Linked DNA regions of Oryzias latipes. The protein of the gene in region 2 binds, or shares a complex with, the protein of the main gene of each other region. Links are inferred from orthologs where the notes say so. Each region holds a gene or a part of one and is shown on either strand. Other genes may lie near its edges.

What was found. Proteins that work in one complex are often made in the same cells at the same time.
Region 1: pold2 (region 2) and rev3l share a complex: the UniProt entries of both Homo sapiens proteins name them as parts of the tetrameric Pol-zeta complex. The link is inferred for Oryzias latipes from reciprocal best matches to the Homo sapiens genes POLD2 and REV3L.

Annotation. Positions count from the first base shown.
Region 1 is NC_019882.2:10,262,305-10,270,249, reverse strand, and holds part of rev3l (DNA polymerase zeta catalytic subunit), read right to left. Parts: intron 7,896-7,945; coding exon 4,157-7,895; intron 3,698-4,156; coding exon 2,880-3,697; intron 2,225-2,879; coding exon 2,142-2,224; intron 2,059-2,141; coding exon 1,933-2,058; intron 1,850-1,932; coding exon 1,657-1,849; intron 1,591-1,656; coding exon 1,476-1,590; intron 1,406-1,475; coding exon 1,290-1,405; intron 1,100-1,289; coding exon 981-1,099; intron 671-980; coding exon 552-670; intron 453-551; coding exon 311-452; intron 1-310. UniProt on the Homo sapiens protein: Catalytic subunit of the DNA polymerase zeta complex, an error-prone polymerase specialized in translesion DNA synthesis (TLS). Lacks an intrinsic 3'-5' exonuclease activity and thus has no proofreading function.
Region 2 is NC_019867.2:18,718,267-18,726,924, forward strand, and holds the start of pold2 (DNA polymerase delta subunit 2), read right to left. Parts: upstream 5,504-8,658; 5' UTR 5,380-5,503; intron 5,239-5,379; 5' UTR 5,232-5,238; coding exon 5,006-5,231; intron 4,929-5,005; coding exon 4,807-4,928; intron 4,721-4,806; coding exon 4,597-4,720; intron 4,528-4,596; coding exon 4,413-4,527; intron 4,340-4,412; coding exon 4,141-4,339; intron 4,022-4,140; coding exon 3,941-4,021; intron 1,345-3,940; coding exon 1,187-1,344; intron 1-1,186. Other genes in the region: nono (non-POU domain-containing octamer-binding protein), read left to right, coding at 5,947-7,263. UniProt on the Homo sapiens protein: Accessory component of both the DNA polymerase delta complex and the DNA polymerase zeta complex.

The DNA of each region.
Region 1 (7,945 bases), on a different chromosome or scaffold from region 2:
AGCCATGGCTTTGAGAGAGAACAAATGGCATCAAATCCAGGGAACAGGCACGAGTTTGACTCATTCATCATTAGATTCTTTATGGATTTGCTGGATCTTAGATCAAAAGGTTTTCCTCTGGAATCGGTAATGTAAAAATAAAACTTAGCATGGCTTGATCCCATTTTATGCTGACGACTTATTTAAATTTACGACTTAGAAAGATAAAGATGCTGAAATGATCTAAAGAAGAAGCAGAACATTTAGAAATGCAGTAAACTCCCAAACAGAATACAATCATCAGATAAACTAATGTTCATTAAGTCCGTACCTGTGAACCTCGAGTCAGAACGTGGAGGAACTGAATCCCAAACAATCTGGCCAGTTCACTGGTTCTGCCCACGATGTCGTTCTGTTGCAGGAGATGCATGGAGCTGCAAACCCGACTCACATAGTGATCCACCATCTTCCACCTGCAGGGACCATCAAAATCCTGATGAGGCTTCTCTGGAAAACTAAGATCCCAGCCTCACAGGTGAGACCAGAAAATTGCGTCAGGCACAGCCACGAACCTGTATAAGTTGGTGTTGTGGTCGAACCAGTCGGACAGCGTGCGGTGACTGAAGAGGGGGAAGCGCTGGTGGAGAACGTGGAAGGCCACGTTCTCAAAGCTGTAGCTGTTTAACGCCACCTAGAGGACAAACAGATTTTCTTTTGCTCTTATCCTGGTCTTTCTTCCAGCAAAAGATATTGATCCTCATGAAACTATCTAGATTTAAAATCTGATTTCTGGAATTGAAAAATATATATTTATTATTTAGCTTCTTGTTCCAGCAAGTTTTAATGTAGTTAAAAACTAAGAGACAATCAGTTAAGTTAAAAATGATTTACATTTTTTCGAATGTCTTAAACTTCTGAACGAGCGGTCATCATTTGTAAGTAGTCTGAAGAAAAACCTAAACCCAGATTTAGGAAAAAAGCTGACGCCAGCTGACACCTGCCTCGCTCTTCATCACCCTCCACAGGTTTAGCGTGACCCGTCCGATGATGTGGATCTCTGTCATGGTGTCGGCGCCATATTCGTCTTTTTCTGCAGCAAATCGGTTTTCTTTAGAGTCGCCTGAGAAGAGGAGTAGACATGGTGTCAGAGGAGCATCCACCTCCGCTGGAAAGGATCATACCAAACCTTCTGGCAGGTTAAATGTATTAGAACATTAGGGTTCATTGGTTTTGTCTCATTGAAACCTTTTGACCTTCATCTCTGACACATGAACAGACGTTCTGCTCTGAAACTGGACTCCTGCTTGTACCTGGCACTCGGGACAGCTGCTGGCACAGGTCCACTCCCAGCACAGCGGCTCGTTGGAGGAGGTAACCCCAGGAATGCATCTGCACCTCGTAGCCCAACAGGATGTCTGGGTCCAACCTGAGGGAAGGAACCCAGGTTCAGGTCCATGGTTCTGCTCTTCAGCTGCTGTGGATCTTTCTTAACATACCTCCTCATGATGCCAACGAGCTCCTGGAACAGCATCTTCTCCTCACTGGCGTAGGTCACCTGCAGCCCGGACACACCGGACCGAACCAGGAGTGGCGCTGTCTCCCTGCGACCTGCTGGGACAGTTCATGGGTTCAGCCCTCAGAACCACAACTGGAGATGAACCTCACATGAATCCTCACCTCGTCCACCGGGCTCGTGGTCTTTATCCACCATGATGGCGCCCGTCAGCTGGGTACTGTCTGCGTCCGGGAGTGGAGCGTCGGAACTGAAGCAGTAGAATAAGGCACATATGGGGTCAAACTCCGGGTCGGGCTCCAGGTCTCGCCTGGTTCTGGCATGGAGCTCCATGGCCATCAGGGTGAGGTGCTGGACCTGCAGAGAGGGAAAACCTGCAGATGAATTTGGAGGCAGAGCTGAAGTCTTCTGCTGAGTATGGAGCAGAAAGTGGCGGTCACCTCGTGCAGAGCTTTGGCGTCCTGCAGGTTCTGCATGCTGACTTTGAAGCCATAAGAGTTGGAGATGCTCGGCCCTTCGATCTGAGAATGTTCTTTCTTTGGCACGTTCAGGCCAGCAAACTGGTTCTGTGGAGAAGAACCAAGAACAAAAGAAGCTTTGATAATGGTGGAGGTGGGAGGACCCTGAACCATCAGAACGACGTCCTGACCTTCATCTGTGTGGTCAGTAAGACTCGTCTGAGCGGATCGGCCTGGCTTCTCCTCCGCTGGAGTCTTGGAGAAACAGAATCTCCTGAAAGAGAACAGAGAGGGAGATGGTGACACCTGCTGGTTCAGATGCACAGAGACAGGATAGAGGTTATTTTGGGGACATTTTTTAAGGTCAAAAGAGAGGGGACAGAAGAAAAATAAACAGAAAAAAGAAGAGATCTGTGCATTTTAGATGCAACCTTTCCCAAAGCGGGACAGCAAAAAAAACACATCCCTTAAAGTTTGACTACAAATGACAAATATTAACCAAACAACACGCTTGCAGCTGCGTTCTGACAGACGTGTGAACAAATAATCTTAGAAGACAAGAAATCAAAAACAAAGAAACACTAAAACGGTGGATTCCAAAACAAATCACAGCATGAATAAAATGTACAATTTGGTTGGTGTGTATATGTTTGCTGCTCCACTTGAAGTCTTAGCCACAACTGCCCTATAGGTGGATGTGAATGTGACTAAGGTGCAACATGATTTCTTTGGATTTAGTATTGCGACAGCAAAGAAAGGATGTTTTTGTCTGCTAAAGGAGATAATAAAACTATCTTTATCTCTTTGATAAAGATAGTTGGTCTCCTATTCTCTCTGATTAGTTTTGACGTCTTTTTCAAAGAAAACTGATATTTTTGATCCTTTTACTTCTTTTTTTCAGAAATATTTCATGCAGACCCTGCTCTCACCCTCAGATATGGGCGTGCTGCACATCGGATCCTGGTCTTCCATGAATCTACGCCGTTTCCTTGAGAAAGGGGTACAGTTCAGGCGTGGGCTGGCTCCATCATCCTCCACATCACTGCCGTGAAGAGAAGAGGGACTGTTGGCCCCTCCGACTCCCTCCTGTAAGTTTGGGATCCCGGGTGAACGTTCTGTTGGGGTTCTATTGAGGTCGCTGAGGCGGTTCGTGTCTGGAGAACTCGGCTGCACAGACTGCTGCCACGGGGGTAGATCTGGAGAGTCTGGGGAGGTGCTCTTAGGATCTTCATCCTTGTCTCCACTGCTGCCGTCTTCTGACACCGGACTTTGCTCTGTGGACCCGCACTGCGAACCCGTGTTCCTCACTGGAGTCACATTCAAGGACAGATTCAGGTTGCGTCTCCTCTGGGTCCTGATCCGGTTCTGGTTCTCTCCCTGTTCAACCTTCAGAGCCGGACAGGCAGAACCAGCAGGCTGCCCCATTTTTGAAGGTATTCCGTCTCTCCTTCGGTTCTGCAGGCTCTCATACTGCCTCCTGGCTTCCAGCCACAGCTGCACGCACTCGCGGCTCGGCGGGTTCCTGCAGGGCAGCAGGATCACTTTCTTGTTGGAGGCCGAGGACGATACAAGTTCTTCGGCTGCCTCTGCGTCTTGGGGAGAAGAGACGATGGCAGCAGCGGGGCGTGTCATGGCAGAGAAGGCCATCTTCCAGAACCGGAGACCCTCCTGGGAAAGTTCCCCACTGAACTCTGCCAGCTCCTTCACCAGCCGGGTTTCTACTGACAGCTTACGGCCCCCAACCTCCCTGCAGAGAAGATTGAGCAGATTTTAGTTCATGTGAGAAGATTTGGAGAGCAACTCCCCACAGCTGCTGGAGGAGCACCGTGTCAACATCAACACATAAGTAACACTCGTCGTTTAAGGTACCGTAAATCTTTATGCCACCAAAGTGAATCATTTGATTCTGACGTGGAGCAAAGCAGCTTTTAAAGTGGCTTTGCAACGATATGCAACACATTACTAACGTGAAAGAGCTGCTCAACGATGCAAAGCCACTTTTCTCCACCTCAAAATCCACTGAAATGATGTAATAATGTAAAGAGTTTAAGAGTTACTATAGTCCACAGAACGTTATGGGTTCAATTGTGTAGCATTTCTTTTATTAGTTGTACAACTACTACCCTGTAAATGTACAATGCAAGTTTTAAAACCACGATAAGCATTGGTAATGATGGGGCAGATGGCGTGTGCTCTGCATTCTTACATTGGTTTACCAGGGGCGTCCGAGGGATCACTGCAAAAAGGCTCCTGGAAGGTGGCCTCTGACAACTCCAGGTCTGGCAGAGTGCTGAGGATCTCCTCCCGACTTGGAGGTGACATCAGGGGCTTGAGGATGTGGGCTCCACCCCCTGTGGCTCGTTGAAGCTGGCTTGCCCTCGCCTGTGACAAAGAGCTGGAGCTTGACTGAGGGGAACTGCTGGGTGTGGTGGACGTAAGCCCATCGAGGCCATCCAGAAGATCACTTGTTGGGGAGCCCTCATGCTCAACCAAAGAGGCGGAGCTCAAAGCCAGCGGAGGCACCGGATCTAAAGCTGAGAAGAGCAATTCTTCTCTTTCACAGTGGAAGTCTTGAAAAGGGCTTCGATTGCTGAATTTATTTGAAGTGCCGTCCCAATCTCTGCTCTTCAGTTTCTCAGAATCAAGCAATGCGAGGCTGGATGATGACTGTCTTCTCTCAAATTTGTCAAAGAGGTCAGGGCTTGCAGGCCTCGATTTGTCCCCTTCAAGGCCTTTTTGAGATGAAACTTGACTCTGGGGAAGATCTTCAAACCCAATAGTCTGAGCAGACACTGCTTCCTGACTGATGTCACTGAGGAATTTGACAGGTAGATTTTTATCAGTCAGGACAAACTGACTGCCGGTGTACGGACTGGAGAAGTCCGTTCGGCTGATATCATTGATGTCAAAAGAGTAGTTGTGGGGGAGCTCTGGTGACAAACTCCCCTCCATGCAGCTGCAACCATCTTGTTCTGGGTCTGACAGGAAGAGTGGACAGTCATCCAAAAAGCTGCCTTCCTGCTTTGGCAATGGATTGGGTTGGCTTCTACTTATCCTGGCCTTCTTGTTTTGCTTGCCTCTTGGTTCTTGCTTTTTGTCCTTGGGAGTGGCAGACTTTGGAGTCCTAGGTTTCCTTGGAGTTGTAGAGGGAGCTTTTCTGGATTTGGGTAATTTAGCTGTAGGACTTAATAGTGCTGTTGCCTTGGCTACGACAGTAGCATGGCTGTTGGTACCGACTACTTGTGTGGGAAGAGCCTGTCCCTGCTGCCTTTTCTGGAGAAGCTGCTTAAGGACAGCCAAGCCAGAGGTGGTATCAGGGAGAGGTTGGGTCTCCCCATTCTTTGGACCAGAGTTTGGAGAGACTTCTGGTAGCTTGGTATCTTTAGTGTGTTCAAGTGAGGCCTGACTAGCATGTGAAAGTAATGGAGGTGTGCTTTCCTCCTCTGTCTTTACTACAACCGTCTGACAACCTTGTTGCTTCGTCTCAGATGGTCCTAGAAGACTTTGGTTGATTTCCATGATCGAAGTGTCACAGTCTTCAACCTTTGGTTTAATAATCTGCGCTATTGAGTTGGAATCTGATGAAGGTGTAGGCTGGGATCCAGCTTGGCTGATACCTTCCGAGTCTACTGGCTGCTGAAATGGTGGGACCTCTTGAGAGGAACCTTCTGATGGAAGTGGCTCATTTTCAAGGAACAGAAGCTGAGAGCCGTCTTTACTTAAATCACAGATTTCTGGTTCTCCAGTTTTCTTTTTACGAGACCTTCTTTGTCTTCCAGCGGTTTTTGGACTTCCAGTTTTAGTTTCAACTTTCTTTGTCCATCTAGTAGCAGCACATCTCTTTGAGTTCTCTTTTTGGGGCTTGTCTGTTTCTGGAGGCTTAGCAGCAGACTTTCGAACTTTCCTTTTTGTCTCAGGGGGTTTCTTAGGTTTGGGGGTTCTACGCTGGGCTCCTTTGGTTGAAGACATTTTTTGTGGCTTGTGAAATGCAGAACTAAGACAAGGGTCATTAAGAGGATTGATCAATTGCTCTGAACTACTGTACATAAGAGGGTCACTTGGTGACCAACAACGTGGAGGTGTCGATTCTGCAGGGCTTAGGGATGTGTCAGAGAGATAGCCCAGTTCTACCATGACATCTTTATAGTCATTGTCCCGGTCGTCTGTCAGCTCACAGTAACATGGTCGAGGCGGGGGTAGAGAGGGCAGAACTGGGCCTCTTTGACAGCCTTTAGCCCTTTTGACTCCTCGACCTCGTTTTAACCAATGCTTGGAGGTGTTGTTGAGGCCTTTCTGTGGTGTCTTCTTGTTTGTGCTGTTAACCTTCACCTTTCTTTTGGGTGTTTTTTTGGCTTTGAGCTCAATAACAGGAAACTCCACAGCTGGAGACTCGGGCACCTTGGGCCAGAAGTCTTTTAGAGGGGCAAGTTTGTTGTACTGCTCCAGTTTGTCTGGTGTCAACTGTACTGACTGCTCCCCTGATTTCATTCTGGATATCTTTACCAACATGTTTTTCTGTCCTTTGAACCTGTTGATAATAATGTACTTGATGATGATAGGTGGTTCTTTCTTTCGTTTTTTCTGGTCTTTGACATGTAGCCCACCAGCAACATTGGTCTCCTTGAGTCTTTTTTTGACAGAGCTTGAGATCTTAGACTGAGTGGGACCCGAGTGTTCTCCATCTTCACCGTCACAAACTGTCTTACGTTTGGCCCTCAGGGAGTATTTACTTCCAGGCAAGGCTGACGGTTTGGTACATGTAACTTTAGCAGCTAAATCTTCATCTGGACTTAGAATTTGTTCTTTAAAGTCTTTGGGTACCTCAGATGAAGCGGTAATAATGGTGGAGTTTGAAACTAACAGCTCGGACGCCGGTTCCATTGGTTTATTTACACGGCTTTCATCATATTCTTTTTTAACAATTACCATTGGTTCATCTCCGATTGACTGAGCTTCTACTGTGGGTTGATCTACGAGCTCCTCGGTTTCTACAGTCACAGAATGGAGGCTGGAGGAGGTGAGGTTAGATGTACCGGTTGACGTGGAGTCATGACTTAATTTTGTTTTGTTTCTATGACCTGCCATTCCTAATCTTTTCTTAGACGTTTTAAGTTTTGACCTCCGAGACGGCGACAGTTCTTGATTGTCCACGGGTTTCTTGTTCCCAGCCTTCCTCCTGCTGAGGCAATTGGAGAGAATAACACTGGGGAAGAACTTGTAGTGTGCCTCCTGTTGGGCCACAATGGTCTTCTCGGTTTTATTTTCCTGATAGTCTTCATATCTGATTTTCAGCTCACCAACATCTCCTTCTTCCGTTTCCTGGCCCATTTCTTCTTTCTGTGGATTCACAAACCCGTCTTCTTTCATGGGCGAGGAGCTGATGCTAGTCAAAACTTGGCTTTTACTGTCCATGGTACTGAGGTCCAACTCTGTCTTGGACTTTAGCTCAGAGTAACACAGAAAACTGCCGTGTTTTTGAAGAATAGTCAAACAGTTTGTCCCTACGTGTTCTATGCTGCCATAAATCTTTCTGCTTTTAGTGATGTTGTCACTTCCAAATGGAAGACCTTCCAGTTCGGACTTATCCACAGGTATGGAGGACTTCTTGTCATAAGGGCACAGGGGTCTTATGTCCTCTTTGTCCATTGAAGCCTTGTCAGGATTGCTAGTCAACGTGCAAGAAATGGGGTGTTTCACAGGCTGGATGTAGGGCATTTCTTTGTTGATCTGGAACCCTGCAGAACATTCATTGCCGTCTCCCTGGCTGCTTTTTAACTGGAAACGCACGTCAAGCGGCTGATCTGTGTCCAGCATATGAACAGGTCTGTGCTCCGGATGTTTGCACTCTGATAACACTTTTGCTGACGAAGGATTTCTTTGTCCCACCAGCTCTGTGACTGCAAGTGAAGACTGGGATATGGAGCCGCTGTCTGTCAGAGATGAATCTATAAGCACAAAAGAGGAGGAAAAAGAGGCAGCTCATGAGGATTTCACC
Region 2 (8,658 bases):
GCCAGAATCAGCAACTAAAGACCCACTCCAATAAAAATCCTGCTTTTGGTGTTTTAAAAATGTTCTTGTGGTAATTTTCTGATGGTGGAGGACACATATGAATAAAGTTGAGATCAAATTCTGATTTTTTTTTTAATATTTCTTACTTCAATTTGTTGTGAATCAGGAGCAGACAAAAATGCTGTTGAAAAAAGCCATTTTGTTTCGCTGCTAATGTTAGGATGGGGTTGTGAGGGGCTGTAAGCTAGCGGGACAGAATGTAAACAAAGCGATGACGGGAAGAGTGGGGACCGTGGCACCGTGCCAGCAGTCTCACTCACAACCAAATTTCTAATGAACTCCTGGCGCTCTGCAGAAATGATGTCTTAGAAAGTCTTGTTTTTCCCCCCTCTAAAAACGGCATAATCATACTTAAAGACCACTGATTTTAAAATAGATCAAAAGATGATCAGAGTAGGACTTTAACAGTTTGTTCTTAAGGTCAGGGTACAAACTCTGATCGTTGAAGGATCTGAGTAATTGGTACCGGGCCTCACAAAAAAGCATACATGGCTTGCAATTTGATTCAAAACTGAGTTTTATTTTGGAAAACTTTCTGCCAAAACTGTCTGTCCCTCAGTCAAAGGGTTCGCCCTGGTCACGTGTCTTACCTGCAGCCACTACCTTCTCAAAGACGCTGATCACATCCGTGACACTTAGTACATCACTGCCAAAATGAAAACCCCAAGCTAGCAAAGTCAACAACAAAAAAACATATTTGGAAAATTTATTTAGGCAGAAAAGAGCCACAGAGGAAGAAACTTCAAAAAATAAACAATCTGCATTGAAGTCTCTACTTAAAATATGGATTCATAGGTCGCTCCCATACAAGCAGGCTCAGCAACATATGCATTTACCAACCTTTATCAAGTTAGGAAGTCATTGTTGATAAAGTTGCAAACCCAGAGTATTAAAAATAGAAAATAATAGTTTTTATGTCCATCACAGCCTAAAGGCCAGTCTATGAAAATCTTGTCTGACAATAAAGCGGTTGATGCTGCTTTAGGCCATTTGCTCTGGTACTCGGTAAAACCTAGAGTCTAAATTTCCACACGCCTGCAAGATCATTTCAGGTTAAGCAAGACGCTTAACCCGACGCATCAAGACGCTTGATGACAAAAATCGTGTGAATGATGATGCTGCGTACCTCACTCCATCAATGCTGGCTTCAAATGGATTAGAGACCAGCTGCAGGGTGTTGTATGCAGAAGATAAGGGGAACATACATGGGTGAAGAGGTTGCTGTGGGAGAGTGTAGTTGGTTGGATCATACTGGCCCGGCATTACATCTACTGGAACAGAAGCCTTAAAAAACAAAAGAGGCAATACCAGTGAGCAATTACTACACAAAACATTCAAAAGTCCGTTTTTTTTATAAATGTCTCCCAAAACACCCATCTGCTCTGTCTGTGCTTTACTATGTCCTCCAGACGCTGATAAACAAAATAAACTGCAATATTGAGTTTGTTTGTAATTCCTTTATCAAACCACTAGATGGAGATATATCCTTTTTGGACAGACTTTTCCTTTTTTCTTTTTAAAGAAAGAGATTTGTTACAATGGATTATTAATTTCTACTTGATAAAATAATGGATCTTTGCTGTTAGAGAGGTTCCACACTCATCTTGGTTCAGTTATTTAAAAACTAGGAAACAACATGAGGGGATCAATAAAAATATTTTCACCGGAAACTGTTGGCTGCCTGAAGAATCAGGTCTTGGACTCCCGACTGTTTAAGTTAGATCTTTATTGGTTTTTATTGGGTTTTATTTATTTTTGTTTAATTTATTGATTTTATGCTGTTTGTTTTTGTTTGTTGTTTTGTTTTTACCCAGCGTTGTTAAGCACTTTCTAAATAAAGTTGACTTTATTTAGTTTTATTATTGCTGTCTAAAAATTGTTTAAATAAATTGTTTCAGTGACTGGCAAAATATCTCTGTTTTCAGGAAATAATACCGTTTCATAAAGTAAAAAAAAAAAAGGATGTGACCAAAGCAGATGACGTGATTGTTGGTAAAGGAGACACTTTGTAACAGATAAAAGAAATTAAGATCTTTCTCTTTCGGCTTTTCCCATCAGGGGTCGCCACAGCGAATCATCCTTTTCCACCTCACTCTATCATGAACATCTTCTACCCTAACGTTAGCCAACTTCATGTCCTCTGTTAAGACATCCATATATCTCCTCTTTGGCCGTCCTCTTGCCCTCCGGCCAGGCAGCTCCATCTCCAACATCCTTCTACCAATATATCCACTATCCCTCCTCTGAACATGTCCAAACCATCTCAGTCTGGCTTCTCTGACTTTGTCGCTAACACAGGCAACGTGAGCCGTCCCTCTGATGTACTCGTTCCTTATCCTGTCTAACCTGGTCACTCCTAAGGAGAACCTCAACATCTTCATCTCTGCTACCTCCATCTCAGCCTCTTGTCTCTGTCTCACTGCTACCGTCTCTAACCCATAGAGCAGAGCTGGTCTCACCACTGTCTTGTACACCTTTCCTTTGAGTCTTGCTGGCACTCTTCTGTCACACAACACTCCTGACACTTTCCTCCAACCGCTCCAACCTGCCTGCACTCGCCTCTTCACCTCTTTTCCACAATCCCCATCACACTGAACTGTTGACCCCAAGTACTTAAACTCCTGCACCTTCTTCACCTCAGCCCCCTGTAACCTAACACTTCTACCTTGATCCCTCTCGTTCAGACACATGTATTCTGTCTTACTACGACTGACCTTCATGCCTCTTCTTTCCAGAGCAAACCTCCACCTCTCTAGCTGTTCCTCCACCTGCTCTCTACTCTCACTGCAAATTACAATTTCATCCGCAAACATCATTGTCCAGGGAGATTCCTGTCTTACCTCGTCTGTCAGCCTGTCCATCAGCATAGCAAACAAAAAAGGACTCAAAGCTGATCCTTGGTGTAGTCCCACCTCCACCTTGAACTCCTCTGTCTGACCTACAGCACATCTCACCACCGTCATACTTCTCTCATACATGTCCTGAACTACTCTGACATACTTCTCTGCCACTCCAGACGACCTCATACAGTACCACAGCTCCTCCCTCGGCACCCTGTCATACGCCTTCTCTAAATCTACGAACACACAATGCAGCTCCTTCTGACCTTCTCTGTACTTTTCCATCAACATTCTCAAAGCAAAAATGGCATCAGTGGTGCTCTTACGGGGCATGAAACCATACTGCTGCTCACAAATCTCCACCTTCTTCCTAAGCCTGGCTTCCACTACTCTTTCCCACAGCTTCATTGTGTGGCTCATCAACTTTATTCCTCTATAGTTGCTGCAGTTCTGCATGTCACCCTTGTGACATGCAGAACTGCAGCAGATAAAAGAAATTAAGATAAAAAGTAAATAAAACCAGGTTTTGGCAGGTATTTCATGACAACAATTTAAACGATAAGTTTATTGATTCTGTTTATAACAGTCGGTTTCATGGAAAGTAGTTTAAACATAGCAAACAAACTCATCAAATGTTTTAGAAGAAATGTGACATTTTATTTACTTATGTACTATTTTTCCTTCTGCTTTGATTAAACAGGTCAACATTTGTGAAATGTATTGATTTGAATTTCTGATTTCTGGTCACGAGTTTGTCACAGCTGATAGTTTATTTAACTTTGCAATAAAGTGAATTTAAACTAGAAGAATACATAAATGCTTATTCTCTTTTATGTTTTACTCTTTATTTTAATTTTCTAATTTTTGGGTATTTTTTCAAAATAAAAGAAGAAAATAAAACAAAACAAAAAAAGAGTTTGAATGGTGCCAAAGTAAACCCATAAAACAAAGACCTGGCAAACAACAAAATGCGTCCTGCTATATTATAGTTATCGTTGGTAATAGTTTAATCTTAGATGACTTTTACACAGCCGGCTCACCACCAGCTGAAGCAGCAGCTCATCAAGAACACGGATGGCTTCCACACTGCCAGCCTGGGTCTTCTTTGTGAGGTACTTGGCCTGAAACAGGAAAAAAAAGGCATTTGATAGTTAAAAGTAAAGTTCAAAAAGTCAACTTATCCAAAATAAGGACAAAGATGATAAGGAAAGTCAAGTGGTTGCATGTCAGGGGGGATGACCTTTGTTGATGCGTCTTTATCCTGGGTGTTTTGGCTCAGGAGGTTTCCAGCCAACAGAACCCGGGAAATTGCTGCTGCGCCGCTTTGTTCGCCTGTGTCTCCAAGCTGACCGGTGACCATGTCAACCAGCAACTGCAGCCCCAGCATGCTGTCAGCATTGTGGCCCCCTAACCCGAGTCCTGAAGCCAGGAGGACAAACCTGTGCCAAGACAAAGCTTTAATGAGCTGCAACCCTTAACTGCAAAGGTTTACCTGTGCACACCTGAGCTCACCTGTCTGAGCTGAGCGCAGGTCTTGGTGTCTGTAAAGGAAGATCAGCCATGCAAAAGTCCTCAACGGTGAACTTGCCATCGTTCTTTTCAGCTCCATATATTGCAACGACACTACCTAAGAGGGGCAACTTTTTTTTAACATAAAGAATTTATTAAAGTATCAAATATCATCAATTACACTGACCTGTGACACACTTATCTTTATCAAATTTGCCCTCCAACTTGATCCTCTGGAGTTCATCCTCTAAAATCAGCTCATCTGCTTCACTGATGTATTTGGCTCGTGCAGGCTGAGGCAGCAGATTGTGCTGAAAAACAGACGTCCAGGATCTTTAAAATGAAAGGAACAGATCAAACGTGGCTTTGTTTATCCAAAAAAGACCAGACTCCTAACCTCTTCACTGATTTCCTTCAGGATGGATGGCTGCAGCTCCATTCGCTTGAACAAGGTCCCCACAATACAACACTGCTCCCCCGGTTCTAGGTCGCACAGTTTCTTGATAAGAACATTAGATCCTGACAGAGAAGAGGGGGAAAGAAGTATTGGATAATCAAGTGATGGTTAAACTGGCATGCTAACATGATGAACTCACCCCACTTCTGCTGAGCTCTCTCTGCCAGCAGGGGCCTCATCTGCATGAGTCTTGCTGCATAAATGTGAGCATACTGACGACTAAAGCTCCTCTGACCAACTCTGTAACGATCGGAGTACAACTCGTAGGGTAGTGATATCCTTTCGAAGGTAGGGCCCTGCTCCTCAGAGGCAGGGCTGCAGAGAAGAGAGGGGCCATTCTTCTGGGCGCTCACGTCAGAAAACATGGTTTTCCTTTAAAGGAATTAAGTAAAGGAACATTAAAATCCTTGTTAACCAGTTGAATGTTTAAGATTCAGCGTCCCCCTTTACAGCAACAACATATTATGTCACTGACTCATTTCCCTACAAATAACAAAAGTAGAACAACAATACCTTAAACGGGAAGTCCTTTTAGATGTTTTAAGAAAAAGCGCAGTTCCCGCGGAATAGCCCGCTAAAGCTTTTATCGGGAAGTCTCGCGAGACGTTAGTTATGTCTTTCCAGCATATCGTTTATCTAATTAATGTTTTTGATTGTTTATTTGTTTGCTTGTTTGTTTAAAAAACGGTATGAAAATAACATTTTAAAAGAAAACGTGAATGTAATCGTTTTACAAATATTTTTTTAAATAAACTTTATTGCACAATATGCCATTTTACAAGGATATACTTTTAGGTATGCAATAAAAACACAACTGCAAATATCAAATACACATATTTAACAAACAGAAGAATAAGAATAGAAATAAAAATGAGCCAGGGGTTTAAACTCTAAGAGAAATCGTCTTACAAAGATGCCGTCAGGAAATTTTAAGTAGATGTCGCCTACATGTGACGTCACACAACCGTCAGAGCAGCGCACCGTGTCGCCATTTTTGTTACTCTTTGTACGACATTGTTAGCCCCTTGTACTGCTTTTCAAAGCACACTTTACCAGATTTTTTGACTTCTTTGTCAAATAATGCAAGGAAACAGAGGCCCTCAGCATAACCACGGCCACAACCGCCAGGGGGAATACTTCAAAACCGAAGGACCTAATAGCAATGGCCAACAGCCGGAGACCAGCGAGCAGACCAACCCCAACGCGGCCTTAACCATGGACCTGCAGAGCTTCAGGAAACCCGGAGAAAAGACCTTCACACAGCGGAGCAGGCTGTTTGTGGGAAACCTACCCACAGGCGTCACAGAAGATGACCTGGAGAAGCTGTTTGCAAAGTATGGTAAAGCCAGTGAGATTTTTATTAACAAAGAAAGAGGCTTCGGCTTCATCCGCCTGGAAACCAGGATCATAGCTGAGATCGCCAGAGCCGAGCTGGATGATCATGTATTCAGGGGCAGACCTATCCGAGTCAAGTTTGCTACGCACGGTGCCGCTTTGAGTGTAAAGAATTTACCAGAGTTTGCCTCCAACGATCTCCTGGAAGAAGCTTTCGCTATTTTCGGGCAGGTGGAGAGGGCGGTGGTGATTGTGGATGACAGGGGGAGGCCCACGGGGAAAGGCATCGTCGAGTTCACCTCAAAGCCCGCAGCCAGGAAGGCTCTGGATAAATGCAATGATGGTGCCTATCTTCTCACAGCCTTCCCCCGACCCATTACAGTGGAGCCCATGGAACAGTTCGACGAAGATGAAGGACTGACCGAGAAGTTGATCAACAAGAACCAACAGTATCACAAAGAACGGGAGCAGCCACCGCGTTTTGCTCAGCCGGGCTCCTTTGAGTATGAATATGCAATGCGTTGGAAAGCCCTGATGGAGATGGAGAAGCAGCAGTACGAGATGGTGGACCGCAACATGAAAGAAGCTCAAGAGAAGCTGGAGGCTGAGATGGAGGCAGCCAGACACGAGCATCAAGTGATGCTGATGAGGCAAGACCTGCTGAGGCGGCAGGAGGAGCTGCGCCGGATGGAAGAGCTCCACAACCAAGAGGTGCAGAAGAGGAAGCAAGCGGAGCTCCGGCAGGAGGAGGAACGCCGGCGGAGGGAGGAGGAGATGAGGATGCGCAACGAGGAGATGATGAAGAGGCAGCAGGAGGGTTTCAGAACCAACTTTTCTGAAAACAGAGAACAAGATATGATGATGCACATGGGTGGTCACGGGTTGGGCATGAACAGAAATTCCCTAGGTGGGAATTCTGGACCTGCCAATGCTGCTGCTATGGCTACAGATAGCGCTCCGATGATGGCAGGTCCAGCAAACAACATGCCTGTAGGAGGACAGAGCGGCTTCCCCCGAGGCCTTCCGGGGCCTGGAGACTATAACAAGCAGCGGAGATTTTGAAGAGCTTCTTCCCTTGTCTTACTATGCTCACTGTAATTTTCCATTTTGGGTAGAAAGTGTTACTTTTGGACTTTGAAATGTGCATGTGTTTTTTTTTCTACCGTTTTTATTTGTCCTTTTCATTTTATTTTAGTACTAATATGTCATAACTCCAAATGAGCCATGCATTTTCAATTGTTTCTTACATTCACTAGATAGAGATGGAAAATGTTTCTTTGTCCTAAATATGTCAACTTTTCTGGAATAAAGTCATGATTCCTTAAAAAAAACATTGTCTCATTATAATAAACTTATGATTTATTTATCCAACCTTCATTGATCCAGGCAAAACAGATTAACAACAGCATTCTTATTTTCAACGGTGGCCCGATGAAGTGTCATAAACACAGAAGCAAATACTTCACATCCAGCCTGTTCATCCATTCACAAAACAATATCTGATGGCACCAGTGCAAGTATTTGATCTCATTCGGTACATGATCCTCAACATAACCTGAAGGATTCCGTGCAGATTTATGTACAGAGTGAAGAACACTGAACTGGTAATCCAGTGGTTTGCTACAGTAAAGAAGATGGTAAATATAAATGTAGAAGCTATGAAAACTCCATATGAATGAATTTAACTGGTTATTTATTAGCTACTAAGGAAGTGGGACACAAATTTTTCAATTTTGCAAAACAATTCAATGAGATTTATGACTGAAGAAATCCACAATGAAAAAAAATAAAGGTGTTTCACATTGAAGATTTGGAAACTTGAGCAAACCAGTGGTCAAAACTAACAAGAGGAACTACGTAAGATGATTTTGATTTTCAAAGTCAAAATTCAAACAGATGATTTTTGCTTGCTAGCTTGTATGCGCTTGCTGGACAGGTGTCATCTGATAACAAAATTATCATTTTTTCTTATCAGACCCCAAGAACTGAAAAAAAGTAGCTTCTTCAACTATCCTGCAAGTACATCATAAATATAGGTTGATAACAATTTGATGATAACAAACGTGCAAGTGTTCTCTGGAAATGTACGCTGTGAAGTCTGCACTTTGTGCCCTGCAGGACACAAGGTAAGCTTTCTCCTCAGGTTTCTCATCCCCTCATTCTGTTTGACAATCGTGTCAATTTGGAAAATCTTACTCTAGAAAAGCGTGCAGGGTATGCAGGCTATGAAGGTGTCATGCATCACAGATGTTTGTTTAAATTAGTTTTTTATAGTTTGGTTTAAAAAAACAGAAACAGCATCTGTTAAAATAGTTTTGTAAATTAATCTTGCCGCCTCAATGAATTCATGAGCGTGTTCTAAATTTTCTGCTTTAAAATGATAATTTCCCATGCATTTGGCTTCCAGTGCTATTTAGTGCAGAAAAAATATGAAAGCCTTAGAAAATGTTTTTTAAC